Macaca fascicularis: one gene and its partners. The protein of the gene in region 5 purifies or fractionates together with the protein of the main gene of each other region. This does not show direct contact. Links are inferred from orthologs where the notes say so. Each region holds a gene or a part of one and is shown on either strand. Other genes may lie near its edges. The genes, in order: CDK5RAP3, CUL2, CCND1, TOP1 and CDKN2A.

Region 1 (5,223 bases), on a different chromosome or scaffold from region 5:
CCACATACCTGTGCGGGGCACTCAGGTGAGTGCTGGGGTAGCTGTGCACCCTGAGCATTCCCATTCAGCTGCTGGGGAGGTGAGAGGCTCGGAAACCAAACCCCCAATTGGCCGCTTACCCTCATATCCTTAAACCCTTTCCTTTCTTTTAAGGAAAACCCACTCCCAGTTCCCCTGTCCTACTCAGGAAGCAAGCAGATTCTTCCTGTATATATCAAACCACCCCCTCTTGCCCCAAAGAGAACCCCTATCCCCAGTGGATGGCAACAGCCAGGAGGCAGGGACGGGGTCTAAGGGGTCGTGGAACAAGAGGAGGAATACAAGGAGGCAGAGTTGCTCAAGATGGCAGAGCCTTGCATCAAGGGGAAGCCAGACCTTGGTGAGGCCAGGATCATAAACAGGTGTTGCAGCTGAAGATTGGTGAGCTTGCCTATCAGATTATCCAGCACTGACACCATGGTAACCATCTTCTCTTTGGTCTGGCCCTGCAGGATGGCCGGAGCCAGCTGGAACTGGCTCACAGACAGGACGTCTGCCTCCTCACTCAACTCCACTGCTCTCTGGGCTAAGAAGATCTCAAGCTGAGGACAGAAGAAACATTGGTTCAGGCTGTACCTGATGGCTCACACTTGCAATTCCAGCACTGTGGAAGGCCGAGGCGGGAGGATCACGTGAGGCCAGGATTTCAAGACCAGCCTGGGAAATAGTGAGACCCTGTCTCTACAAAAATTTTAAAAATTAGCCAAACATGGTAGTGCATGCCTGTAATCCCAGCTACTCAGGAGGCTGAGGCAGGAGGATCACTTGAGCCCAGGAGTTCGAGGTTATAGTGAGCTATGATTGCTCCACTGCACTCAACTGGGTGACAGAGAAACTCTTTTTTAAAAAAAAGGAAGAAAGAAAAAAGATAAATTGGTTCAAACTGAGAAAAGAACTCAGAATCTAAGCCCTTAGACTACTTGAAATGCAAAAATGAGACATGAGGGCTAGACTCTGGGTAAGGTGGGGTTATTTCCCCTGAACACTGTAAGCTCTCGGAGAGACTACTGTCACCCTTCAGTCCCCCACTCCTTTCTCAGCCTAACCCCAGACCTCGGTCCTTTCTCCCAGCCTGGGATCAGATAACTGAGAATACAGAGACTCAAAGGGTTCTCTCTGCCCAGGGAAGATATTTATTTTGTCTCCATGGGAGGAATGAGATTCAGGGAACAGAAATACATGTTTGAGAAGCACTGGATTAAGGCAAAGCTGAAAAGAATACAAGAGCCAGTCACATTATCTTATCAATCCTATTCTGCCATTAAAACTTGACAGATATCTTTTGTCCTCTCCCCTCGAAGCCGGGAGGAGCCTCTGGGCAGAAAGAGGAGGGAACTGGGTGAGGACAGAACTTTCAGGAGGCTCTCTGAACCAGCAGGCTACTGGGAAGGGAGCAGATACAGAGATTAACAAAGACAGGACCCCATCCTCCCAGCCCTACAACAAAGGTCCAAGAATGCTGGCTCCTTACGCTGGGCTGCTCAACACCTCAGCCACAGGGATCGTGCTTAAATACAAATGAGATCACGTTCCTAACCTGCCCAAAACCTCCAACAGCTTCCCAGTTCACTAAGAGGCAAACCAAAGTTCAGATGCTGTTTTTCTGAGCTCTTCTACTACCCACCAGCTCTCCCTCCTCAGCCACACCAGCCTCCATGTTGCTGGTCAACTGTGCAAGGCCTGCTCCCACCTCGAGACCTCTGCAGTTGCTCTCTCTGCCTGGGAAGCCCTTCTGCCAGACATCTGCATGGTTCTCTCTGCACCGCCTGCAGTCTTGATTACAGGTCACCTTCTCTGAGGCCTTCCCTGACCACCAGATACAAAACTATAGCCCTTCCCAACATCTCGTCATCCTTCCCTGCTTTCTTTTTCTCTGTGGCACTTAGTACCATCTAGCATCCTGCAAATTTTATTTATCTTCTTCCAGTCTGCATTCCCCATTAGAATATAAGCTCCATGAGGTCAAGGACTTTACCTGTCTTATTCACCACCTAAGTTCTGGTGCCTAAGACAGTGCCAGGTGCCTAGGAGGTACCTGATAAGTAACTGGATGAACGGGAGGCATCTAATATGTGAGGTTCCTGCTGCAGGACACAGAAAGCACTCACACCCTTCACACAAACAGGAGGGTCAGGTCAGGCGTCCGGAGTGAGGCCACCTGTGCTGGTGCCATGCCTCCCCCTGCATCTCCCAGAGATGACAGTACCTCCATGAGCTCATCAAGGAACTGATTCCGGGTCTCAGTGTACTCAAGAAGTGTCAGAGCATCTGGGCCCCTGGCAACACCTTCTGGAGCTGCCAGGAAGAGAGACAGAGAAGTGATAAAGGATCAGAGGACTGGAGAAGGAAAAGACCCTCAAGTTTGAGAAGCCCTGGAGGATCAATACGGACAGACTCACTGCGCTAAAGCCACTTCCTGTTCCAATCCAAGGGAGAAGGGTACCTTGTCCCAGGTGTCTCAGCTCTAATCAGGTACCACTTTTCAACCCCCAGCCTGAGAGAAGGACTAGAGCTGGGTTCAGAGGGGTAGAAAGGCGGGTTCTCTGTTCTGGTGGACGGTAGGAAGTAAAGTTTCATCCTGCACCGCCCTCTAGTGGCTCAGACACCACTACATTTTCTCGGCTGCTGGGGCGGGGGTCACGTCACACTCCAGTGCCCCCTGACCCCCCTACCACCCTCCTATCAAAACAGCTGGCCCACATTTGGTCTCTAAAAAGTTGAGAGTTTCTAAGCTCTTAACTTTTAAGAACCTCTCTTGGGCCAGGCGCAGTGGCTCACACCTGTAATCCCAGTATTTGGGAGGCCAAGGCAGGCGGATCACCTGAGGTCAGGAGTTTGAGACCAGCCTGACCAACATGGAGAAACCCTGTCTCTACTAAAAAAATATAAAATTAGCTGGGTATGGTGGTGTATGCCTGTAATCCCAGCTACTTGGAAGGCTGAGGCAGGAGAATCGCTTGAACCCAGGAGGTGGAGGTTGCGGTGAGCTGATACGCCATTGCACTCCAGCCTGGGCAACAAGAGTGAAATTCTGTCTCAAAAAAAAAAAAAGAAAGAACCTCTCTTGGTCCCCCTCAACTCACATCCTCATCAAGGTTTTCAGAAACAGTTAAACGTGCGAGAAGCCTCATCTTGGTGCTGCATTTTTTTTCTGTTTCTAGACACCTGGGGGCCCTTGAGCACCCCACTTTTGCCAGGGCTGCAGGGGATAGTGCACTTACCCTGGGTTCCTGCTTCCAGCACTGTGATCTGCAAAGCAACAGCATCGTCACCCCAGTCTATCCCATCACCTCCAGGGTCCTGGAAGGAGAGCAAAGAACCACAGCAATGGTGGGAGAATTTTCTTGAGCCAAGGAGCCAGAATAAACCAAAGCCCTTGATGAGGTCAATGGCTGCACGTTCCAACTCTATTAAGGACTTGCAGCCCTGAGTTAGGTGCCAAAGATGGCAGTAGGGCCCATCATCCCTGCTCTGTAGTGTTCCCACCTGCCTATACCCCTACATCCTGCACCAGACACCAGGCAGGAAAAAGGACACCAAAATTTAACTCTGACATGGGCTGGGTGCGGTGGCTCACGCCTGTAATCCCAGCACCTCGGGAGGCCAAGGCAGGTGGATCACCTGAGGTCAGGAGTTACCAGCATGGCCAACATGGCGAAACCCCGACTCTATCAAAAATACAAAAATTAGCCGGGCGTGGTGGCTCACGCCTATAATCCCAGCACTTTGGGAGGCTGAGGCGGGTGGATCACGAGGTCAGGAGATCGAGATCATCGTGGCCAACATGGTGAAACCCCGTCACTACTAAAAATACAAAAAAATTAGCAGGGTGTGGTGGCGGGCGCCTGTAGTCCCAGCTACTCAGGAGGCTGAGGCAGGAGAATGGCATGAACCTGGGAGGCAGAGCTTATAGTGAGCCGAGATCGCACCACTGCACTCCAGCCTAGGTGACAGAGTGAGACACTGTCTCAAAAAACAAACAAACTAACAAAATACAAAAATTAGCAGGGTGTGATGGTGGGTGCCTATAATCCCAGCTACTTGGGAGGCTAAGGCAGGAGAATCACTTGAACTTGGGAGGCGGAAGTTGCAGTGAGCCGAGATTGCGCCACTGCACTCCAGCCTGAGGGGCAGAATGAGACTGCCTCAAAAAACAAAACAAAACCCTGACATGTAAGGTGTGAAACTCTGCCTCCCTTGGACTATACCTGGTCTTAGAGCTATGAACTTCAAGTGATGCCTTTACAGACACAAATGACACTTTTCTGATGGTTAGAGTAGTAATGAGAGAGACAGACTGAGAAGGCCTCCTCACCTTTGAATCTGATTCCAGGAAGACGCCCCAGTCGATTCCAGCAGCCTCGGCAGAGATGCCAGAGTCAGTCCCCTCAGACACTGCCTCTACCCCAAAGTCGCCCCAGTCAATCTGGAAAGGGAAAGAGAGTGTTAGCTCATGGAAGATGGATTTAAAAAGGGCCAGGCGTGGTGGCTCATGTCTGTAACCCCAGCACTTTGGCAGGCTGAGGAGAGGGGATTGTTTGAGCCCAGGAGTTTCAGACCAGCCTGGGCAATATGGCAAAACCCTATCCCTACAAAGATGTTAATAAAAAATTAGCTAGGAGTGGTGGCGCATGACTGTAATCCCAGCTTCTTGGGAGGCTGACTTGGGAGGATCGCTTGAGGCTGAGACGCAGAGGTTGCAGTCAGCTGAGATCATGCCACCGGACTCCAGCCTGGGCAACAGAGCAAGGCCCAGTCTCCAAAATAAATTAATTAAAAAGGAGGGTGGGACTGCCTTCCCAAAGGCCTCAGCTGCTTCTGTAGAGAGCACACTGTTCAAATGCAGTGGCCTCTAAGCTCCCCCAAAGAAAGCCCATCTTCAGAGAGCTCACATGATGGAGGCTCCCAGTTCAAACTGAACCACCTTGCAAAACCTCTGTGGCACTCACTCACCTATACTCAGAAAAATAAAGGAGTAGGGCCTCCTGGGCCCTTCTACCTACAGTCATTCTCACACAAATCCCCTTTTTTCCCTCTGGGTCTTGGGTTGGGCTGTTGGGGGTGGGGAGGGGACAAGCAGCTCCCACTACACTCCCACAGCTCATCACAAGGCCCATCTTACCGCATCCTCTGCTATCTGCTCAGGAAGTTCCTCGAGGTGGGGTCGCTCCACCACAGAGGGCT
Region 2 (5,790 bases), on a different chromosome or scaffold from region 5:
GTATGTGTATGTACCATTTCTTCACCTAGAGTGTTAGAAAGACTTGTATTCAAGGGCCAAAATTTAATAAAATTAATGCTTCTGCTTCATCCAGGATATTCCTAAATCAATAGTCTTTTTTTTTTTTTTTTTTTTTTTTGAGACGGAGTCTCGCTCTGTCTCCCAGGCTGGAGTGCAGTGGCGCAATCTTGGCTCACTGCAAGCTCCTCCTCCCGGGTTCACGCCATTCTCCTGCCTCAGCCTCCCGAGTAGCTGGGACTACAGGCACCCACAACCGCGCCCGGCTAATTTTTTGTATTTTTAGTAGAGACGGGGTTTCACCGTGGTCTCGATCTCCTGACCTTGTGATCCGCCCGCCTCGGCCTCCCAAAGTGCTGGGATTACAGGCGTGAGCCACCGCGCCCGGCCCAATCAATAGTCTTAAAAACTGGGAATGTGTGGCAGTGAATACAGCGATCCAATGACCACCCAGACAGGTTGGTGGCACTGTCTTGATCCCTGCTAAGGCATCAATAGTGTCCCTATTCCTTTGTACCATCAGTACAAAAACAAACTCAGTCAAAAAGACAGAGGAGGCCAGGCGTGGTGGCTCACTCCTGTAATCCCAGAACTTTTGGGAGGCTGAGGTGGGCAGATCGCTTGAGCTCAGGAGTTCCAGAGCAGCCTGGGCTACACAGTGAGACCCCACGTCTACCAAAAATACAAAAATTAGCTGGGTGTGGTGGCGCACGTGCCTGTAGTCCCCACTACTTGGGAAACTGAGATGGGGCGCTCGCTTGAGCCCAGGAGTTTGAGGCTGCAGTGAGGTATAATCGGGCCATCGCACTCCTGCACTCCAGCCTCAGGGACAGAGGGAGACCCTGTGTCAAAAACAAAAACAAAACAAAACAAAAACCGGGGGGGGGGAGGCCTGGCACGGTGGCTCAGGCCTGTAATCCTAGCACTTTGGGAGGCCGAGGTGGGTGGATTGCCTGAGCTCAGGAGTTCAAGACCAGCCTGGGCAACATGGTGACATGGTGAAACCCTGTGTCTACAAAATACAAAAAATTAGCTGAGTGTGGTGGCGGGCTTCTGTAATCCCAGCTACTTGGGAGGCTGACACAGGAGAATCACTTGAATCCAGGAGGCAGAGGTTGCAGTGAGCTGAGATCATGCCACCACTGCATTCCAGCCTGGGTAACAGAGCAAGACTCTCTATCCAAAAAAACAAAAACAAAAAAGGACCAGACATGTTGCATTGTTAACAAACTAGTTGTTAACCTTGTGACCTCTGTAAAGGTCTCAGGGATTTCCAGAGGTCTGGGGACCACACTTTGAGAATCACTAGATTAAAAAGGAGGAAACACGGGAGGAAAAAAAGGTCACATAATGGAAACATATTGTTGAATTGAATTTAGTGTATAAAAACTCTTTAATGAAATAAAGAGTATAGACTTCAAGTACTAAGAGAAGCTAGAAGAGGAGGGATCCCTACAGTCCCTACAGAAGACTGTAGGGATTGATCAGGTCAGGAGGCAGGGTTTTAAATGGGCCTTGAAGGGTTGGTGCAGTTTGGAAGGAAGGGATGGGAGGGAAAAGCTTGCTGAATGGTATAAATGAACAAGACCCTGATGGTGAGCTCTTGAGGATATGAAAGGCAAAAAAGCATTACGGAGGGGCTTTTGTTCCCCTGTGGCCCTGCATATATGAGGAGGTGATGAGTAATTCTACATTTTTGTCAACTTTACCGTTTAAAACTCCAAGGGAGGAAAACCCTTCAAACTGATAGGCTTGGGGCTTGGTGAAGGTGGGCTATTAGTGACAAAGATGTGAAGTTTCTTTATCGAAAATACATGTATGTCCAAGAAGTTCTCTGTAGATAAAAACTAACTAGAAAAAGAGTTTGTCAGAGAGGAGAAGTAGTTTTACTAATATATTTTTGATCATTTGCAAAGCCCATGGAAGTGTGTGGCAAGACGATTGTGGTGTCTTAGGATTCACAGAGGTCTGAAACAAGGAAAACATACTTCTGTTGAAAGCACCATTCCAACATATTGTTATTATCAGCCCCTGGACTAACGGGTAGTGAGTGGGTACTGTGTCCATCAGCTCAGCGAACCGCAATTGCCTCATTGACAGCAAGCCCAGCAAGGAATCACTTGGAATATTAATTTTCGTGGCCTTTCGCAATCACATAAAGCTTGGCTCCCTGCGCTTGCCGTAATGCGGCCTCTACCATTGCTTTCCGGCGGCGGGGGGGGATTTGGCAGCAGCGGAAGAAGGAGACCGGAGGGTGTGTTTTGGGGAAAGCCGGAGGCAGAGGAGGACGATTGTTTTACGAATCCCGTGATCGGCCCGTCCTTCTCCCCTTTCCCCCCTCCCTACCGCCCCTGTCCCGCCGGGCAGCGGTGGCGGCCTTGGACTTCGCTGTCTTTCCTCGCGGAGACAGGTGAGTGTCGGCGCGCGGGCTCCCCGGGCTTCGCTCCCCACCCCCCGCGTCTCCGGGGCCGGTGGCGGCGGCCGGCCGGGGAGGCGGCCTCGGCGCACAGTAATGGCAGCGCTGTGAACAGGGGAACGCGAGCTGACAGCCGCCGCCGCCGCCTCCGCCCACCTTCCTCGCCGGGGCTTCGTCTTTCACTCCTTCGGGCTGCCTCCCCCTCCCCTTGTCCCCTGCCCCTTGCCCTGCTTCTGCAGAAGGTAACCCCGCTGAGGGTCGGGGAGCCGGGCTGCAGGCGCCGGGAAACTTCCCTTCCCGGTTAATGGGTGGCGGGGCTGGGGCGGAGGAGAGGAGTTGGGGGCGACGAGGTGTGGGGAGAGGGATGAAACGGGGAGGCCCGGTAAGATGGTATCCCGTAAGTGACCTCGGCTCCCCAGAGCGCTGACCCCTAAGCCCTGCCACCCCCTGGACTGGATCCCGGGCCTCCCCAATCCGATCTTGGCCGCCTCTCCCGCGGCCCCATTTTCCTCCGAAGGAGGGAAGGTGAGAGTGCGTGTACTCTTCTAAATATTTACGTGCTCACACGAATACACAACTCTGTGTGTTTGTGTGTGTGTGGGGGGCATCTCATGCATCCTTACCACGAGTGTTTTCACTTTTGTTTCTGCAGACTGCAAAGATTGATAGCTTTGGGGAGGAGTATCCTACGTGCATGCTAGCTAGACCTCTTGTCTCAACACTTAGGGTCTGGTGAAATAAGATCCTCACAGGCTTTCTAGCACTTGCTTACCCTCTAGGGAGTCTGGACCATTCCCTACCATTACGTGCAATCAAATAAAACATCTGTGAATTGCAGACTGTTATTAATGTTAAGCCCACATCTTTGCCCCATGGATTAATATTAACAGTTGAAGGCCAGTACCCTGGGCGTTTAAATTTTGAAGATAAGATGCAAAATATTAACATTCGCTATAGATTGTGACTGTTCAACATAAACGTCTTTGAACTAGACCTGGCCCAAGCCTACCTTCGTAGTAAAGTATGGGAAATAATCACTTTGATCTGATTGACAACTGACTACATAATAATCGCTTAAAAACATTCAAAACACTGTTGCCTACCCTTTAGAATCTTACATCCCTTTTCAAAACACATGAACATAAATTAGCTATACTTTGCTTCTTTTGCCCATATACAGTATCTGGAAGATGCGTACAAAAGAGTCACGTGAGGTAACAGAAGTACACAGTTTTTTTGTTTTGAGATGGAGTTTTGCTCTTGTCGCCCAGGCTGGAGTGCAGTGGTGCCATCTTGGCTCACTGCAACCTCCGCCTCCCGGGTTCAAGCAATTCTTCTGCCTTAGCCTTCCATGTAGCTGGAATTACTGGCATATGCTACCACGCCCGGCTAATTTTGTATTTTTAGTGGAGACGGGGGTCTCACCATGTTGGCCAGGCTGGTCTCGAACTCCTGACCTCAGGTGATCCCCCTGCTTAGGCCTCCCAAAGTGCTGGGATTACCGGCCTGAGCTACAGCACCCAGCCCACAGTGTTTTGAATTACTTGTTTTTTTCAGTTGCTGTTTATGAGTTGGGGGAACATTTCTACAATGTGCATGCACATAGCGTAGGAAAAATTCCTTTTCAATTGCCTTTTGAGTATTTGGATGTTCTCCTGCATCTGAAATACTCTCCATTCTCCATCCTTTCTGGTGGCTTTAAGTGTTCTATAATTGTGAAGATTATCCATGTCTTTTACCCTCAGCAGTTTGTCACTAGATTAAATGTTATGGACCTTCTTTAAAGTCGTTTTTGTGTTGTCTGTCAGTTGACAAATATTTATTAAGTACCTGGTTTATTTGTCAAGCAGTGCTGCAGGCATTAAAAATACAAGGGTAAACAAGACACATTACATTTCTTTTTTTTTTTGAGATGGAGTCTTTCTGTCACCAGGCTGAAGTGCGGTGGCACGATCTCGGCTCACTGCAACCTCTACCTCCCAGGTTCAAGCAATTCTCCTGCCTCAGCCTCTTGAGTAGCTGGCATTACAGGTGCATGCCACCACGCCCGGCTAATTTTTGTATTTTTAGTAGAGACTGGGTTTCAACCTGTTGGCCAGGATGGTCTTGATCTCTTGAGCTCGTGATCCACCCTCCTCAGCCTCCCAGAGTGCTGGGATTACAGGCGTGAGCCACTGTGCCTGGCCGACCCATTAAATTTCTATCCTCGTGGAGTGTCAATTCTGGCTTGGGATGGAGAGACAGATGGTAAATAAGAAGTAATCTCAGAGAATAAGTGCTGTGTGGGAAATAAGGTAAGGAGTTGTGGTAGTAATTGGGGGATTACTTCAGATACTGTAACCGGAAAAGACCTTCCTGAGGTAAAGTTTGAAATTCTGAGGGAAAAGTTTTCCTGTTTTAGGGAGGAGCAAATGGAAAAACCCTGAGGTGCTATCAAACTTGGATCCAACAAACTGAAATTGGCTTAAGGTGGACCCTTATAGAGATTAAAGGTGGGTCCTAGCCAGGGGCTGGATCATGTTGGCTTTTGTTCTTATGATACATTAAAAGGCTTTTGGAACTCTTCTAAACTGGGAGTGATAAGGTCTGATTGAGAATCAGACTCAATTGGAGAAGAGGAGAGATGCAAGGAGACCAGTGATAAGAGCAGTGGCTGTGGAGGGTTAAGGTACAAGTGAAAGGTTTTGAGATTTATTTTGGAGTTGAAGATACTTATTGAAATTGTCATGTTTTAGATGAGCATGCAGTGGGACAGGGGTCACTCCCGGGTTTTTGGCTTCCGCTGGAGAATGATGATGCTGTGTACTGAGATGAAGAAGGGTGGGGGGAAGCAGGCTGTTGTATGGGATGGGGTTGGGTTGGACATGTTAAGTTGGATCTCATTGTTCAAGTGGAGGTGAGAAGTAGGTGATTGGAAATAAGTGTAGAACTTAGTGAGAGGTTGAGGAGTGATTAACTCATTGAACAAGGGCTTCTCAAGCACCAGCTTTAAACCAGATGTGTGGATATAGTAGTTTAAAAATCTCTGGCTTCATGGAACTTAACTTCTAGTGAAGAGAGAAAGATGGATATGGAGAGTCCTCAGCATTTATTTATTGGTATACTAATGTTTTTAACAAAAACTATATTCACGTGACTCAAAATTTAAAATGTTAGTCTGGGCAACATGGTGAGACCACATGTCTACAAAAAATAATTTTAAAAAAATTTGCCAGGCATGGTGGCACATGCCTGTAGTACCCACTATTGGGAAACTGAGGCCAGATGCCCAGGTTGGAAGTGGCAGTGATCTATGATTGCACCACGGCACTCCAGCCTGAGTGACAGAGTGAGACCCTGTCTCTAAAACAAACAAA
Region 3 (6,021 bases), on a different chromosome or scaffold from region 5:
TTCATGCCCCAAGCAGGTGGAGGAGGTGGGGGAGGCCTCACGCCTAAACCAGAAACTATTCTGGAATACCAGATACTGGTGTCAGAAGGGAGCACAAAGTAGGCTTGGGGGGCTCCGCCCTCTGGGGAGGGGAGAAGATGCTACTGCTTCCTTGAGGCCCCCTGGGCCTTGCGGCCTAGGTCACCCAGAGTGAGCCCCCAAACAGATGTGATGACTGAGGCTTGAGCAAAGGTGGGCCACAGCAGAGGTGGGTGGGATGGGGACATACCCCCCCCCATCAGGGTAACCAGGCTTCCTGGGCCAGGAAAGGAGGCAGTCACACGGGGGTCAGAGGCAGGGCTGGGGACAGCAGGAGGCAGCACCCTGTGTATGTGCGTGTCTGTCCCCACTGGGTTCTGGGGCCAGGGCCATGTCAAGGAGGGGCCTCTGGGGCCATGCCAGGGGAAGTGAGGACTGGGTGCTTCTGCTGCCTACGGTGGCGGCCCAAGCTGAGACTGCTCTGAAGCACCCCCCAGGGCTCAGCTGAGCCCGGCTGGCTGGCAGCACCCCTGGCAGGGCCTCAGGCAGCAGAGCTCCTCTGCTGGACACCCCTGCACTCGGCTGCCCAGAGCACGTGGTGCAGGCGGGCCAACAGCTCTCCCCGCCCCTGGAGGCGTCTCTGGCAGGTGGCCCAGCCTGGGAGAGGCCAGGAGGGGGCCCTGCAGCTCAGGCTCCTTAAGGACACAAGAAGGGCTGGAGGTGGGTGGGGAAAGGAGGCGGCCCTGCAGCCAAGGTAAACCCCTTTGAGCATGGAGTGGCCACAGGCTGCCTGGCCTGGAGGATGAGGCCACAGAAGCTGGACACAGGCAGGCCGAGCTGTCCACACCGATGCCCAAGGTACTGCATGGTGGCCGTGAGGGAGCAAATCCCCTTCCATCCAGCACAACAAATAATCCTGGGCCTCTGCTCACCAGAGCTGGAAGAGCGCTTCCCAGCGCAGGAGGGAGCCTAGGGACATCTTCCCAGACATCACCCCGGTGGAGAGCGAGAAGCCGGCCAGGGTCACCTAAGGAGCTGGCTCTCCAGCGGAGGCCGGGGGCTGCTGGGCCTACCCTACCTGTGGCACAGAGGGCAACGAAGGTCTGCGCGTGTTTGCGGATGATCTGTTTGTTCTCCTCCGCCTCTGGCATTTTGGAAAGGAAGTGTTCGATGAAATCGTGCGGGGTCATGGCGGCCAGGTTCCACTTGAGCTTGTTCACCAGGAGCAGCTCCATTTGCTGCGAACACAGGGTGAGCGGCCATCAGGGGAGGTGCGGGCCGGCCCGGGGGCGCGGGGAAGCCGGCAGCATGGGGGCCCGGGCCATGCAGCACCTCCCGCTCAGAGCACTGGCCCCTGCGTCTCGTGCGGTCCTGGAGGTGGGAGGGGAGGGCTGGCGAATGATGGGGGTGGTATCGGGGAGCCGGGGCAACACGCGATCCCAGATCAAAACAGAAAAGGTGCCCGCTGCGTGAAAAGACTCTGCAAGTGGAAACAAAAAGACCTCCCACCACCTGAAACAGAAGGCTCAGTGCGGAGCGCGGCGCTCCTCGTGCAGCCGCTGGAGGGCGCGCGCCGCCCACTTTTCGGCCACACTGCCGGGCGCGAACGCGGTGGGAGTCGCAGGCAAGCGACTTGGGGGCGGTGGGACGGGGGCGGCTAGGATCCCGCCCGCTCCCGGGACAGGGACGCCCGGCGGCGGGGCCGCCCTCCCTGGGAGCAGATATGTCAGAGGCGGGCCGGCCGCCACTGCCTGCACCTTCCCCGGCCCCGTGATCCTGCGTGCGACTCTCGGGGGGCAGGGGGCGGCGGGGTCCCGCGGTTACCAGCAGCTCTTCGGGCCGGATGGAGTTGTCGGTGTAGATGCACAGCTTCTCGGCCGTCAGGGGGATGGTCTCCTTCATCTTAGAGGCCACGAACATGCAGGTGGCCCCCAGCAGCTGCAGGCGGCTCTTTTTCACGGGCTCCAGCGACAGGAAGCGGTCCAGGTAGTTCATGGCCAGCGGGAAGACCTCCTCCTCGCACTTCTGCTCCTCGCAGACCTGCGGAGGCACGGGGCCCGTGACCGCCGCCGCCAGGTCGCGCCGCCCCACCCCCGCCCCCGCACCCCCCCATCGCGCTCGGCAGGACCGCCAGTTCTGAAGGGCGCGGAGGGGTGGGGGCCGGGGGCGGAAGGACCTTCCTGTGATGCGCCCCCTCCCCCGCGCGTCCCCAGTACCCACCCTCCCCGAAACTGAAAGGGAAAGTCCCCGCGAGGCTGGCACGGTGGGGGCGGGAGCGGGCACAGCTGGGCGGCGTGCGCGGCGGCGCGGGCTGCCAGCCCTGGGGACCCCGGCCCGCCCTGGAGCTCCGTGGTCCCTCTGACTGAGGGTCGACACCCACTGGGGTGCGGGGCCGCGGAACGGGCCGCGGGGTTGGGCGCCGCGCCTGCGAGACACAAAGGTGGCGTCCCAGGCCGCCGCGCCGCATTTCCCCAGACGTCATCTTTTCAAAAAATATTTAAAAATATTAAAAAAATAACTAAGTGCATAAAAAAACCCTGAAAATGACCCTCGGGCGACCCTTTACCCAGGCCGAGGGTCGGGAGTTCGTTACAGGCTCCGGGGGGAGCCCCAGGAATTCAAACTCCGGGGCCCCCCTTCCCCCTGGGCGCGGGCGGCGTTTCCCTCTCGCAAGGGCACCACGCCGCACTTTCAAAAATTATTTAAAAATACTTGCGGGCCCCTCAGGCGCCCACCGAAGGTCTGAAAATGTGCTCCCAGGCCCCCGGCTCCCTCAGAGAAGGTCCCCCAAGCCGAGATCCCTGCAGACGGGGATCAAGCCCTGGCGTCTTGGGGGCCACGCGACCTTGCAGCTCGGCGTGCTCTCCGGCCCTGGCTGCCCATTTGGGGCGCCCCGGGACTCGCTGCTTAAACAAAGGGCCCCCCTTCCCGAGCGGGGTCCCCCCAAAACTCCCCATGCCGCGTCCCTGCGCCCCTCCCGCGGGCTCCCGGCGGCCGCGCGGCCCCTAGCTGCGGCCCCAGCGCCCGGCGGCCGCTCCCCGCCCCCACCCTGCCCCCAATTATTAATAAACACTTTTGCTTTGCAATAAAAGAGCAAAGATGGCGCATAATACTGGCACGAGCGGCCCTTGCATACGTGTCCATGGATATTAATTTAAAAATCAAATCTATGCCCCCTCCCCCCGGAGTTGGCGGCTCTCGGCCGCAGCGGCCGCGAGAGGAGGCGCAGCCGGGCTGGGGCGCAGGCGGGGGGCACAAAGCGCACTCAGCCTGCCAGCCCGCACCCTCGGGCCCATTGGGGTGCCCCGACACTGGCTTCTCCCGACGGCACCCCTCCCCAACCCCCTTCTCCCCTCCCACGAAACGCAACTTATAGCACCCCCACCCCCACCCCTTCCTGCTTCAGAAAATACCCACAATTTTTATTTTTAAAATGCGGATCCCTAGCAACACCACAGCAAACTTCAAAGTTCTAGCGGGAGAGAAGGGAGGGGGGTGAGGAGCAAAGAAACGTGGGTCTGGGCAACAAGTTGCAGGGAAGTCTTAAGAGAGCCGCCCAAAGCCCCGCACCTCCAGCATCCAGGTGGCGACGATCTTCCGCATGGACGGCAGGACCTCCTTCTGCACACATTTGAAGTAGGACACCGAGGGCGCGCAGGTCTCCTCCGCCTTCAGCATGGCCCGCAGCACCCGGTCGTTGAGGAGGTTGGCATCGGGGTACGCGCGGCGGATGGTTTCCACTTCGCAGCACAGGAGCTGGTGTTCCATGGCTGGGGCTCTGCCTGGGCAGCTAGGGAGGGCTGTGGGTCCGGGCTGGGTCCGCGCTCGGCTCTCGCTTCTGCTGCCCCGCGCTCCCTCGCGCTATTCTGCCCCTCGCCGGAGCGTGCGGACTCTGCTGCTCGCTGCTACTGCGCCGACAGCCCTCTGGAGGCTCCAGGACTTTGCAACTTCAACAAAACTCCCCTGTAGTCCGTGTGACGTTACTGTTGTTAAGCAGAGATCAAAGCCGGGCAGAGAATGGGAGCGGGAGGGGGGCGGGGGCGGGCGCAGGGGGAGGGGGCGCGGGCGCCAAACGCCGGGAGCAGCGAGGGGCAGAGCCCAAAAGCCATCCCCGAGGCGCCGCGCCTGCCCTGCGGCGGAGTTGCCCCCGTAGTCCGGTTTTCATAGAAATGCAAATCGCCCCGCTGCAGCCTTTCTCCCCGCCAGGGAAGAGGGGTGCAGGGGGCCCCGTCCGCCTCGAGTGGGTTCCCCGGGATTTAGGGGGTGAGGTGGAGGTGGCTCTGCAGTAGGGGACCACTAGGAAGGCCGGCAGGCCACACGCAGCCTGGGGAGACCACGAGAAGGGGGGACTCTAGGGCGCGGCGACACCCCATATCCAAGCCGGCAGAATGGGCGCATTTCCAAGAACGCCACGAGGGCACCCACGGGCGGACAGACGGCCAAAGAATCTCAGCGACTGCATCTTCTTTCATTTTCATTAACACGTGTAAATTTCAAGAACTATTTAGCATACAGGGACGGGGAGGACCGGGCACACAACCCCTGTGCAAGTTTCATTCCGGCGCACAGGGGCGTCGTTGCAAATGCCCAAGGGGGTAACCCTAAAAGTTAAAGGAATTTCAGCTTAGCATGCGCTCGCTCAAAAAATAAAATAAAATAAATGCCCGAAAATTCCAGCAGCAGCCCAAGATGGTGGCCAGCATTTCCTTCATCTTGTCCTTCTAGCCTGGAGACTCTTCGGGCTGCCTTCCTACCTTGACCAGTCGGTCCTTGCGGGGATCCCCAAATGCACCCCCTCCCTTCCCGTGCCGGCAATTTAACCGGGAGAAACACACGTCTGAATGGAAAGCTGAGAAACAGTGATCTCCGTTCTGACTCATTTTTTTAATTAAAAAAGAAATTAAATTGCTGGAAATATTAGTCGCCTCAGCCTGGGACAAGACCACTGGAAGGTTCCTAATTGGTTTTGTTGGGGGTGTAGACGTCCCTTCACCTTTAGAGTTTGCCCTGGGACTAAATTCGTGAGCATGAGGGGGCTGGCAGGAGCGGGCATAATTCAGAACAATTATCAATTAAACAAATGAGTGTACTGATCTGATTTTTAGCAAAATCGATAGGTGTTCGTGGTTTCATGAGAGGGTCCCCACTACCGCAAACTTAAGCAGATGTAAATTAAAATACATAGTTTTTAAAATAACAGGTTCTGTCTCTTTGGTGCATTAAAAAATAAAAGGACATTTTACTGTCTTAACTTTTGTTTTTGTTATTTTAATAGTACCTGCCCCAAATTAAGAAAACTGTTCATTTACTTCCTTTTGAATATAGTTTAGTGTCATCAAACCACCGTATCCTCTTAACAGTAAAAGCTCAAAGAAAACGGATAGAAAAAGTCCCCTCCCCTTCGCCAGGGAGCTCACAGCAAGATGCGACCCCCCCCACCCCCCACCTTTCAGGGTGAATTCCTCCCGTGCCCCCTCCCCCGCCGGGAATTAGGATTACTAATATTCCGGGTCCTGGGGGGTAATTACCCCCAGATTCCGCATGGGGAGCGATGGGTGGCCCCAGCAGGGAGCACCCACGGTCGTGTCCCCCCCACTCCCCGAGCACCCATAATCGCTTTGGCCCCAGCATAGCCAAGCCTCAGAGCATCAGCCCGCGCACGAGGGCGGCCCAGCTGCTTTTTCATTCATAAAATCCCGACCCGGCGGCCGCCTGGATGATTTATGGGGCCCGGAGCTATCACCCGGCCTCTCCCACCCCGGGGGTCGAGGGGCCCCGAGCCCCGCGTGCGCCCTGGCCCAGCCCGAGGCGCGAAGCGGGCCGAAGTCGGCTAGGGGCAGCACGGCATAAAGAGGCTCGCCCACTCCGGCAAAACCGGCTCTGGGTCCAGGAGGGAGCTTCACCCCCCCATCCCGGGCGCAAGACAGAGGAAACTGGAATTAGCATGAGCCAATGGGGGCGCGGCGCTGTTACTAGGCGGACCGGGCAGATCTAGGCTAGGAA
Region 4 (5,223 bases), on a different chromosome or scaffold from region 5:
TGGACTCTGCACACACACTAAACTAACAATGCCTCTAAAACTAATGATTATAGCAAAAAATGTCTTCACATTAAAATTCTGCTTTTTATGTTTTTTTTCCATTTTTTACACAATTACAAAAGAAAAAATAAAAGCCCTAAAATCTTGATTATTTTTCTTTTTTGGACCAAATACTCATTTTCCTCTAAATTTATTGACCTGTGGAACTTTTTATACAATAAAATCTTTCAAGTGAAAGATTAGGGTTAAAAACAAAAAGATGGATATCTTAAAGGGTACAGTGAATGCTCAGAACAAAGGATGATGGGAAAATGGTTTCAGTCACTGATTATTTCATTATCCTTAGACTCACTCGCCCTTCATCCCTCCCCAACCCCAATCTACACGATCTTTAAGATCAAGAAAAAGGTTTAAATATTTTAAAATAATTAAAAATAAAAATTCACATTTAAAAAGGAACACTCAAGTCAGGAAATATTTTCCCATCATGCTTTTCTGTGAACAGGTGTCTGAACCAAAACACTGCCAAAGCCACAACTGCTTCAAGTTTAATGAAAATTGATCCCCATGACAATAGAGAGTGACATCTCTAACAGGTGCGCTGGGTTTTTTGTTCTACTTAATTTTAAATTCCTGAAATGGGGGAGAGGGGAGGGAGTTTAGGAATTTATTTCTATTAAAATATAGAAGTTATTGCAAAACCCTAACTGTAAAAACGCACCAATATAATCGGACTTTGCATACAGTAGCTAAGAGAATCCAAACATTTCAGTGAAACAGTGAATTTGCCTGGTAGAACGCTGACAAATTCCCATTCACTTGCCCTCTTGAAAATAAAAACAAAATTCAAAACAAATCATACAGCTAGAATTTTGATATCTGAAATATTTTTAAATAAGTTGTCCATAGGACAACTGGCTCAGCTCTCCCTTATAATATCTCCAGGTTTATCTTTTCGCAAAGATGTTGGTTTGTTAAGACTTGCTGCCTCTCTCCCCCAGGCACGAGGGCAAGCGAGGCTCAGTTTATCCATCTTTCCCAAACCACACTGTTCCTTTTCACAGAACCCTGCCTCTTGAGACTGGCTAAAACTCGTAGTCTTCATCAGCCATGTCAATGGCCCAGGCAAACTTTTCCCGCTGGGTTTTGTTGTAAATCTTCTCAATTGGGACGCCCCACTTCTTGCACCTGCAAATAAAGGAGAAATAAGGGGGATTAGGGTGACTCAGCAATGGCCCATATCTGAAGCTCAGGGTCAGATGTTCCATCTTCTCTTTCACGTCTGTCTAGTGAGGATGCAAATTAATAGTGCACCAAGCATGTTCTAAAGGTTTTATGTGATCAACTCATTTAATCTTGGCAGTGATCTCTAAAGTAGGTGCTTCTGCAGATGTACAAGTAAAAAAGGTACAGATGAAGAAACTGAGGCAGAGACGTTAGGTAATTTACTGATTTTCTCAAACAGCTAGGTGGTAAGTGACCTGAAATTTGAACCCAAGCAGTTTTTCTCCATGTTCTTAACCCTATACTATATTGCCTTTTAAGAGCTAACCAAACCTCTAGCACCAAACAAGGCAAAACGAGCAGAAAGAGGTACAAAAGAGTTAGGTGGAACCTTTAGCCCGGACTAGCAAGTGCCATAGGGGAGGATATCTCCACCTATGCTCAGAACTTAACAGCTCAAACTAAACATCTTCCAAAACAAAGCCACTTATTTCAGATGTTATGTGACAGTGTGTGTGACACACAGAGAGAAACCTAATATTTATCTGCCTTTGTTAAAGACCCCTCTGCCTCTCTGTGTAAGTTGCTCAGATCTCTATTCTCATCTTTATCTCTTGTTCCTACCTTCAACTGCAAAAAATTTCAACGAAAAGTTTTGTTGAAGGGTAGAGTTGAATGGGCTCTTTCCTATTTTGCCAGAAGCTAAGAGTTTCCATTCCTGTCCTAAAGTTCCATAAGGAATAGGGATGGAACCTGCCTCTTAAAAACATAACATACACTACAAGGCAGTATGACAGCACTGACCATTTAGGAGCAACCAGAATGTTGCAATGCATCTACAGACAAGGTTCAGCAACCAAAGTAACTTGTACACAGCTGAAGCCAGAAGTTTCCCCATAGGACTAGAAGTGTGCAGCTTAGGAATGGCATGTGAAGGCCACCAGTGCCCTCCACCTTTCTCAAGCTAGCAGCAGGAGCTCAAGGAAGGTTCAACACTTACCAAGCCACTGTGATCCTAGGGTCCAGATAATTGAGTTTGGAGGTTCCCAAGGCAATTTGTTTATTTTCCTCTCGGTCTGTGGCTTGAACTTCCAGCTTCATCAACTGTTCCTCCAGTCTCTGCACAGCCTTCTTCTTTGACTCTACTACCCTAGAAGAATAGCACAGTCCTCAAGAACCAGGCCTGGGCTCTAAACAAGAGCACACTGTACCCATGCTGCCACTTTGAGTCAATAAAAGCCCTAGTACAGAGATTTCCAAAAGACATCCCTCAGAAACCATAGAAAAGCCAGGGCCCCAGGACCTCTGACAGATGCTGCACACACTTTTCCCCACCCGCCCCAACTTTTACAATACCAGGTACGTACTTCTTGGTCTTTGCATCCTTCATGACCTTGGCATCAGCCTTAGCACTTTTCAGGTCTCTCCGGGCATCTGCTAGCTGTTCCTTCTTGGCATCAATCTAGGGGAAATAATAGTGGTAAGGTTATGAGCTGTAGAGGAAAAATGGCTCCCTCAAGACAAGGTGAAACCTAGATGTTATCTGGACCAAGCTGTCTCTGTCAGTGGTTTGTCAGATAAAAACACCAAGGGTGGCTTCATGAAGGCAGGGAGAAGATGCACAGGGACTACTGAATTCAACTATTTGTTCTTCAGTGATCCTGCAAGAAACAAGGGTTCTACAGCATAGTAACCTAGGGGCTCAGGGAAAGGAACCCGCTGGGGCTGGGAATCTGGGTGCTGATCTTTCCATCAGAGAACACTCTGCTGTCAGACATCTGGGAGAACGGCTACAAATGACAGCTGTTTATCAACTAGATCCTGTGCCAGTTTTTAGCTTTCATTCCAAGAACACTGTAGGAGCTACTCTTTAGGAAGCTGAGCCAGGATACTTGCATCTACTGGGCAACCCCAGCTCATTCCTCAGATCCCACCAGTACTCTGGGAAGGCGGCGACAGCTTCTCAAGGAAAATGGATGCACTGAAGAGAGTACTCAAGGGGCTACAAACTGGCAATTAAAAGATACCCAGGAAGCCAAACAGCTCAGCCAGTCTGTCCCAAACCAGGACATGGCAGGGCCTAGCTTTGGCATTCTGTTTTTAAAAGGAGAGAGGTTGCCGGGCGCGGTGGCTTATGCCTGTAATCCTAGCACTTTGGGAGGCTGAGGTGGGTGGACCACAAGGTCAGGAGATTTAGACCATCCTGGCTAACATGGTGAAACCCCATCTCTACTAAAAATACAAAAAATTAGCCAGGTGTGGTGGTGGGCGCCTGTAGTCCCAGCTACTCGGGAGGCTGAGGCAGGAGAATGGCATGAACCTGGGAGGTGGAGCTTACAGTGAGCCAAGATCACGCCACTACACTCCAGCCTGGGTGACAGAGCGAGACTCCGTCTCAATAAATAAATAAATAAAATAAAAAGGAGAGAGGTCTGAGGTGGGAAGGACCTTAGTTGTCACTCAATGGATGTGAAAACACTTTCAGCTGTGGAGCTTTTTTTCCCAAGTGAAATCTCGTGGAATCCATATCTATAAGGGAAGAGACAAGGGCAGTTTCAGCCTTTCTTGCTTGTTAGAATCCTTGAAGCACCACTGGTGAGAAAGTTCTTAGATTCCTGCTTAGAGACAGCAGTGGGTAACAACATGGAGCTAGAGCCCCTGTCAGTGAGCTCACGCTGCTCTGAGGACAGAAGAACCCCATATCTATGACCATCTAGCTGATCTGTGAGGTTAACACAACCTCCACAGAGTAAATAACATGTCTGACACACACTGGGCTGCTCACTGAGCCCAGAATTGTTTGTTAAATACACACAGCCCAAGACTGGAAACAGAGGCCACCATTGTGAGAGAATCACTAAATATGTTTTACTATGAATGGCTTACTTCCAATATCTATGTTGTCCAAAGCCAAACTGAGGGGACTGATTCTATATACAAAAGCGTCACAGACACCACTAGCCAGATTCTTTTTAGGATAGAAATGTAGCAAACCACAATCTTTTAACCATTTCTGTGAATGCTAAATTGGCAGGCTATGTCAAATTCTCTCAAAGCATCAAAGACTCCATTGATTCACTTGGCAAAAAGGGGCGTGTGTTTGCTTTGTGGGCACACAGGAGAGGAATCCTGGGCTTGGAGGGCTCGTCTGGCAGGCAGCCTGGGCTGCCCAAACAGTGGTTCCAGAGTGAGAGCAACAAAAGACCTCCTCATACTCCTGGGAGGGGTCTTCCTGAATTAGGTAAACAGCACCTGAATATTCATGCTTTTATTTCTGGCTTGGAATGATAACATGAGGAGAATAAACAATTCCAGATGACCAGCATTTAACAGAGTGGCAGCAAATGTGAGCTGCTAGGATGGGCCATCTATAGAGTTCTTTGCCTGCCAATCATATGATCCAAGGACTCAAGTGGTCTATGGATGTATATTCATTCACTGTGGACGGGTACATCTCTTCAAGAAAGCCAGATGGTATCTGTAGCATAAATTATAGGTTGTGTGTACCTTTTGAACCAGCTGTATTACTCATGGGTACTTATCTTAAGGAAATCTCAACAAATGGAAAACATTCTGAGCCTTAAAATGCAGTCTCATTCCATAGTAGTAGTTCTTAAACTCCAGTTGTACAAGTATAGAATTCCATGAACTTGGATGAGAAAAAAATTACATCTATAATTTCAATAACCTCCTTTTGAAATTTATTTATATTTACTTTTAAATTTTTAATAGAGACAGGGTCTCACTCTGTTGCCCGGGTTGGTCTTGAATTACTCAGCTCAAGTGATCCTCCCACCTCAACCTCCCAAAATGCTGAGATTACAGGTGTGAGCCACTGCACCCAGCCTCTAGCTGAAATTTAGCATTTCTTCTTCAGTTATGAATATGGGGAACATCCCAGCACTTTGGGAGGCCGAGACGGGCGGATCACGAGGTCAGGAGATCGAGACCATCCTGGCTAACATGGTGAAACGCCGTCTCTACTAAAACATACAAAAA
Region 5 (5,852 bases):
CTAACTTCCTGTATTTCCCTTGAGATAAAACTACTGAAATTTCTTCCTGAAATTATGTTAGGCCTGGAGATTTTTTTTTTTTTTTTTTTTTTGTTCTCTGCTGTATATCCAAGCGCAGAATGTGGTAATTGTTAAAAAGAGAAAACTTGTTTGTTTGTTTTTTTAAACAAATTCTCACAAAACTTTTAAGTTACCCTTAGTTTCTGGGAACGTTGAACTTAAATTTCTTTTTCATTAAATTAGTTTTAAAATTACATATTGGCATAGTACAGTTGTATATATTTATGTGGTACAATATGAAGTTATGATCTTTGAACACAATGTGGAATTAAGTCAAGCTAATTAACCCATCCATCATCTCAAATATTTGATATTTTTGTCAAATGAGAGCATTTGGGATTTACTATTTAGCTATATTTATCATGCTGTGAAACACATCTCAAAAAAAATCAAACTTATTTCTTCCATCTTAACTGAGGCTTTGTATCTTGATTACCACTCCCCATTCCTCCCACTGCCCCCCTCCCCAGCTCCAGCAACCACCATTCTACTCTTTACTGCTAAGAATGTATTTGTTTTATATTTCACAGATAAGTGAGAACATGTGATATTTGTCTTTCTGTGTTTGGCTTATTTCATTTAGCATAATGCTCTCCAATTCCAAAAATTCAATTTCTTCAAGTATAAAATAAGAATGCTAGACTAGCCCTAAAATTCCTTCCTGTGGTAGGTTGAATAAGGTCCCCCCCCACAAATGTCTATGTCCTGATCCTCAGAAACTGTTAATTTATTAACTTATGTAGCAAAAGAGGCTTTGCAGATGTGATTTAAGTAATGGTCTTGAGGGAGATTATCCAGAATTTTCAGGGTGGGCTCAATAGAACCCCAAGTGTTTTTATTAGAGGGTCACAGTCAGAGAGAAGATAAAAGAATGGAAGCACAGGCCACAGAGAAAATACAGGGAATATGAGCCAAGGAATTTGATGGTCACTAGAAGCTGGAAAAGACAAGGAAACAGATTGTCCCTTAGAGTTTCCCAAAGTGGACCCATTTTTGACTTCTGATCTCTAGAACTGTACTGTAAAATAATAATTTTGTTTGTTTTAGCTAACACATTTGTGGTAATTTGTAACAGCAGCAATAGGAAACGAAAAGGCTTCCCAGGTTTATGATTTGAGAGTTCATTAAACAAGAGATGGTCACCTTTTTGGTTCCTAAATCATCTTGGAAACAAAGCCATTTCCAGAGAGGAATTTTAAAATACTGTCTCCAGTCATAGCAACCTTAAAATTTGAGTGTTGCATGGTGGAAATAAACAATTTATTTTAGGATAACTGTTATTTGTTATATTAGCTTGAGGATGGTTGTGTTAAAGAGGAATTACTTATTTTTAGGTACATTTCATACTAAACACAAATTGCATAATTTGCCTAAATCAAGGAATTATACTAAATTATATTATGGTTATTAAATGCTGTCCTGAGAAAGTGAAACTGACTTAGTTTTCAAAGAGACAAAGAGAAAGTATAAGCAAACCAAATTGCAGCTACAAAAAGAAAGACAAAATGTTGCAGCATATTTATTGTTCCGTGTGTTCACTGAAGTTCTCTTTGTCTTGGTCATAAAACTAGCCTTAAAGGTTTTTATTATATTTCATAGAATGAAAAACCTAAAAAGTAACCCATATGTAAATATTTAAATCATGATATAAATCCAAAGCAAAAAGAAAATGAATTCATTGAATTAAAATGTGTAGGATGCTTAAACCCATTTGATAATAAATTGATATGAATTTAGCATTTAAAAATATTATACAAATAAGTGTTCCTATATTAAACACCAGTGTAGTTAGGATTCTAAGCCAACAACACTTCCCCTTTTCTACATGTTCTTCTCCCTTCCCCATTAAAAATTGTCAAAACTATCCACTTTTCTTTTTCCTTTTTGTTTTTAAACAAATAAGGTCTCTTCTAAGATGTTTTAGGACTACAAAGCCAAATTCCCGGGTCCAAGCTGTTGGCAAAATTTTAGAGATGCTAAGTTACCCATGCATTAATTACTTTTAAATCATCCCCTAACTCCCTCACAAAACCGGAGTAGGGAGAGGAGAAACACCACTGTTCAAAAATGAGGAATTGAAAACTCTATCACAAAATAAACTATTATCAAGTAAGCTAAAGATAGCAAAACAGTAAAAATATTAGCAGATATTCCCAAAATGGTGACTACATATTACTTCTGGCACGATCACATGAATGTAGCTCATTATTTCCTAAGTTCCTACAGCAAACATGTATTTATTTGCCCTACTCAGTTAAAAATAAACACAATATGTAGTTGCTTCTGAATGCTTTTTTTTTTTTAATCTCCCTCTCTTTCTTTCTTTCGACAGTCTCACTCTGTCACCCAGGCTGGAGTGAAGTGGCTCCCTCTCGCTGTTCACTGCAACCTCAGCCTCCCGGGTTCAAGCGATTCTCCTGCCTCAACCTCCCGAGTAGCTGGGATTACAGGCGCCTGCCACCACCCCCCGGCTAAGTTTTGTATTTTTAGTAGAGGCGGGGTTTCACCTGTTGGCCAGGCTGGTCTCGAACTCTTAGGTGATCCCCCCGCTCCTTGAGCTCCCAAAGTGATGGGATTATAAGGCGTGAGGCACTGCGCCCGGCAGCTTCTGAATAATTTCGATCAGAAATTTATATTCGATATTTATTCCAACATACAGCACAGATTTCCACTGATAATCCCTACTAGTAAGAAAGATAAACTCCATCCAGGCATCTGTGAATTGGGGGCTAAGTAGTCCCAGCACATCTTACATTTCTTTAAGACTCCCGTTTTATCTCAAACCTTCGTAAGTTTTGTATCTGATAGAGCATACTTCCATCTAATACAAATATGTTCCCCCCTTCAGATCTTCACAGCATTCGAGAGATCGGCACGCGCGTGCCTCCTCATTCCTTCCTTGGCTTCGCAAGCACCCAGGGCTTCGCCAGCAGGAGGTCTGTGATTACAAACCCCTTCTGAAAACTCCCCAGGAAGCCCTTTTTTCCAGACTCAAAGCGCTACCTGATTCCGACTCCCCTGCAAACTTCGTCCTCCAGAGTCGCCCGCCATCCCCTGCTCCCGCTGCAGACCCTCCACCCACCTGGATCGGCCTCCGACCGTAACTATTCGGTGCGTTGGGCAGCGCCCCCGCCTCGAGCAGCGCCCGCACCTCCTCTACCCGACCCCGGGCCGCAGCCGTGGCCAGCCAGTCCGCCGAAGGCTCCATGCTGCTCCCGGCTGCTCGCTCCCTGCTCTCCCACTCTCCGCAGCGGCCAAGTGCACGCGGCCGCCCCACCCTCTGGTGACCAGCCAGCCCCTCCTCTTTGTTCCTCCGGTGCTGGCGGAAGAGCCCCCTCGGCCTCTGTCCCCCTCAACTCCTCTGGAGGGATCGCGGTATCTTTCCAGGCAGGGGGGCGCCGTTCGCGAGTGCTTGGAGGAGGTGCTATTAACTCCGAGCACGTAGAGAATGTGGCACCCCTGAAGTCGCCCCAGGGTGGGCCTCCCCCGGGGGCACCAGCCGGAAGCAGCCCCCGCCAGAGCCAGCGTTGGCAAGGAAGGAGGACTGGGCTCCTCCTCCTCACCTGCCCCCAACACCGCCCTCCGGCCTCCCTGCTCCCAGCCGCGCTCCCCCGCCTGCCAGCAAAGGCGCGTTCGAGTGCGTTCACTCAGTTAAAAAGAAAAAAAGAAATCCCCCCGCCCCCCGCCCCGTTTCCTTCCTGCGCGGTACAACCTTCCTAACTGCCAAATTGAATCGGGGTGTTTGGTGTCATAGGGAAAGTATAGCTTCTTCTTTTAATCATAAGAAAAAGCAAAACTGTTCCTTCCTAGTTGTGAGAGCCCCACCGAGAATCGAAATCACCTGTACGACTAGAAAGTGTCCCCCTACCCCCTCAACCCTTGATTTTCGAGAGCGCGGGGTTCACTAAGTCAGAAATCCTAGTTCAAAGGATTCCTTTTGGAGAGTTGGCCTACCCTCTCCTTCTCCACCCCTTCCCCTCCTACGTGTAAAATGGCTGTCTGGGGCAAGGGTTTCTCAGACGTGTACATTGCCTGGTATAACAGCAGACTCTGAAAAGATGAGGTTTATTTAATACGGGGGAGATTTCTGCCTGTAGGCAGATAGGAAAATGGAGATGGAGTCATTGGAAGGACGGACTACATTCTCAAAGTCATAATTCCTAGACCAGAAAAAGTGCTCAGTGTTCTAGAGGCAGAGTTGCACAGTGATCCAAAGACCCGCTTTACACATTGTCCTGTCTCCTACACACTCCTCACATTTCTCTTTCCTACTGAAAATACTTTGCATTTTTCTTAGTTATAAAGGGAGAAGGGAATATGGGTACCCCCTGCTTTACAGGGGTGTTGTGAGTTTAAATGAATTGTTGTATATTAATACATATAAGAGTTAAGAACACTGCCACACATCCTAAACTAATACCTGTTAGCTCTTGAATTATCCGTTTTGAGGATTGGCTTGCACTCTTGTTTTGAGGCATAGAAAGAAAATGCTTTGGAGCCGGACGCGGTGGTTCACGCCTGTAATCCCAGCACTTTGGGAAGTTGAGGCGGGCAGATACCTGAGGTCAGGAGTTCGAGGCCAGCTTTGGCCGTCTGTACTAAAAATACAAAACTTAGCCGGGCGTGGTGGTGCACGTGTGTAATTCCAGCTACTCAGGAGGCTGAGGCAGGAGAATCGCTGGAACCCAGGAGGTAGAGGTTGCCGTGAGCCGAGATCGCGCCACCGCCTTCCAGCCTGGGTGACAGAATGAGACTCCGATTCAAAAAAAAAAAAAGCTTTGGATAGAATTATCACTATTATATAAAAGGAAAGGCTGGACGCGGTGGCTCACGCCTATAATCCCAGCATTCTGGGAGACTGAGACAGGAGGATCACCTGAGGTCAGGAGTTCGAGACAATCCTGACCAATATGGCGAAACCCTGTCTCTACTAAAAAATACAAAATTAGCTGGGCTTGGTGGTTCATGCCTGTGATCCCAGCTACTGGGAGGCTGATGTAGGAGAATCGCTTGAACCTAGGAGGAGGCGCAGGTTGCAGTGAGCCAAGATCGCGCCATTGCACTCCAGCCTGGGAGACAAGAGCGAAACTCGGTCTCAAAAAAAAAAAAAAAAAAAAAAAAAAAAGAAAAAAAAGAAAGAAAGATCAAGAAGACCTTATTCCCTGAAAAGATTATGGGCCCCTCCACCACCCTCACTTATAAAGAAAAGTTAAACAGCACTAAAGAGTATAACAAGTGCAAGGAGGTAAAAGTTCTAATTTTTCCTGTGACTATTACTTTTTAAGCTTTTCAAAAACATATATTACGTTTTTAAAAAATGGATTGCTCAGACTTTGCTGATGCCTTAAGCACATGCTTAACCTACCTACTGGATAATCCAGCTCTGTTTAAAAGTTATATTTCAATCCCTGGTTGACTTAAACCTTGTAGACCCAGTATATCTTGTACTTTTAGTGTCTGCTTGATGTTAAAACACGTAGTTTTTAAAATGAAGCCAATGGAAACAATTTGGGATGTCAAGTATGTTATTAAAATCTACAATGCATTACTGTGCCATTTATATTTTCCTCGGAGTACCTCTCATTTAGCTGTGTAGCAATGATATGGAAAATTCAAACTATCGATAAATAAAATTCGTTTAGTTTAGCTTAAGGTATTTTATGATGGAGGAGGAAGAAAGAGTGGTTGCCAGGTTGGGAGGGAGGGAACACATTTCCATCACTAATACAATGGGTTTTTTGTTTGTTTTTTGAGATGGAGTTTCGCTCTGTTGCCCAGGCTGGAGTGCAATG

What was found.
Region 1: the proteins of CDKN2A (region 5) and CDK5RAP3 purify together in Homo sapiens (affinity purification with western blotting; 3 studies listed by BioGRID). This does not show direct contact. The link is inferred for Macaca fascicularis from reciprocal best matches to the Homo sapiens genes CDKN2A and CDK5RAP3.
Region 2: the proteins of CDKN2A (region 5) and CUL2 purify together in Homo sapiens (affinity purification with western blotting; 3 studies listed by BioGRID, with this or other methods). This does not show direct contact. The link is inferred for Macaca fascicularis from reciprocal best matches to the Homo sapiens genes CDKN2A and CUL2.
Region 3: the proteins of CDKN2A (region 5) and CCND1 purify together in Homo sapiens (affinity purification with western blotting; 3 studies listed by BioGRID and IntAct, with this or other methods). This does not show direct contact. The link is inferred for Macaca fascicularis from reciprocal best matches to the Homo sapiens genes CDKN2A and CCND1.
Region 4: the proteins of CDKN2A (region 5) and TOP1 purify together in Homo sapiens (affinity purification with western blotting; 3 studies listed by BioGRID). This does not show direct contact. The link is inferred for Macaca fascicularis from reciprocal best matches to the Homo sapiens genes CDKN2A and TOP1.

Annotation. Positions count from the first base shown.
Region 1 is NC_088390.1:58,752,631-58,757,853, forward strand, and holds part of CDK5RAP3 (CDK5 regulatory subunit-associated protein 3), read right to left. Parts: coding exon 5,162-5,223; intron 4,466-5,161; coding exon 4,355-4,465; intron 3,340-4,354; coding exon 3,261-3,339; intron 2,335-3,260; coding exon 2,246-2,334; intron 582-2,245; coding exon 376-581; intron 9-375; coding exon 1-8. UniProt on the Homo sapiens protein: Substrate adapter of E3 ligase complexes mediating ufmylation, the covalent attachment of the ubiquitin-like modifier UFM1 to substrate proteins, and which is involved in various processes, such as ribosome recycling and reticulophagy (also called ER-phagy).
Region 2 is NC_088383.1:35,861,822-35,867,611, reverse strand, and holds the start of CUL2 (cullin-2), read left to right. Parts: upstream 1-2,244; 5' UTR 2,245-2,428; intron 2,429-2,474; exon of another isoform or gene 2,475-2,676; intron 2,677-2,716; exon of another isoform or gene 2,717-2,959; intron 2,960-5,790.
Region 3 is NC_088388.1:5,016,992-5,023,012, forward strand, and holds the start of CCND1 (G1/S-specific cyclin-D1), read right to left. Parts: upstream 3,945-6,021; 5' UTR 3,787-3,944; coding exon 3,589-3,786; intron 2,059-3,588; coding exon 1,843-2,058; intron 1,257-1,842; coding exon 1,097-1,256; intron 1-1,096. UniProt on the Homo sapiens protein: Regulatory component of the cyclin D1-CDK4 (DC) complex that phosphorylates and inhibits members of the retinoblastoma (RB) protein family including RB1 and regulates the cell-cycle during G(1)/S transition.
Region 4 is NC_088384.1:97,227,375-97,232,597, reverse strand, and holds part of TOP1 (DNA topoisomerase 1), read right to left. Parts: intron 2,687-5,223; coding exon 2,592-2,686; intron 2,375-2,591; coding exon 2,225-2,374; intron 1,189-2,224; coding exon 1,086-1,188; 3' UTR 1-1,085. UniProt on the Homo sapiens protein: Releases the supercoiling and torsional tension of DNA introduced during the DNA replication and transcription by transiently cleaving and rejoining one strand of the DNA duplex.
Region 5 is NC_088389.1:76,949,243-76,955,094, reverse strand, and holds the start of CDKN2A (cyclin-dependent kinase inhibitor 2A), read right to left. Parts: upstream 3,293-5,852; 5' UTR 3,269-3,292; coding exon 3,143-3,268; intron 1-3,142. UniProt on the Homo sapiens protein: Acts as a negative regulator of the proliferation of normal cells by interacting strongly with CDK4 and CDK6. This inhibits their ability to interact with cyclins D and to phosphorylate the retinoblastoma protein.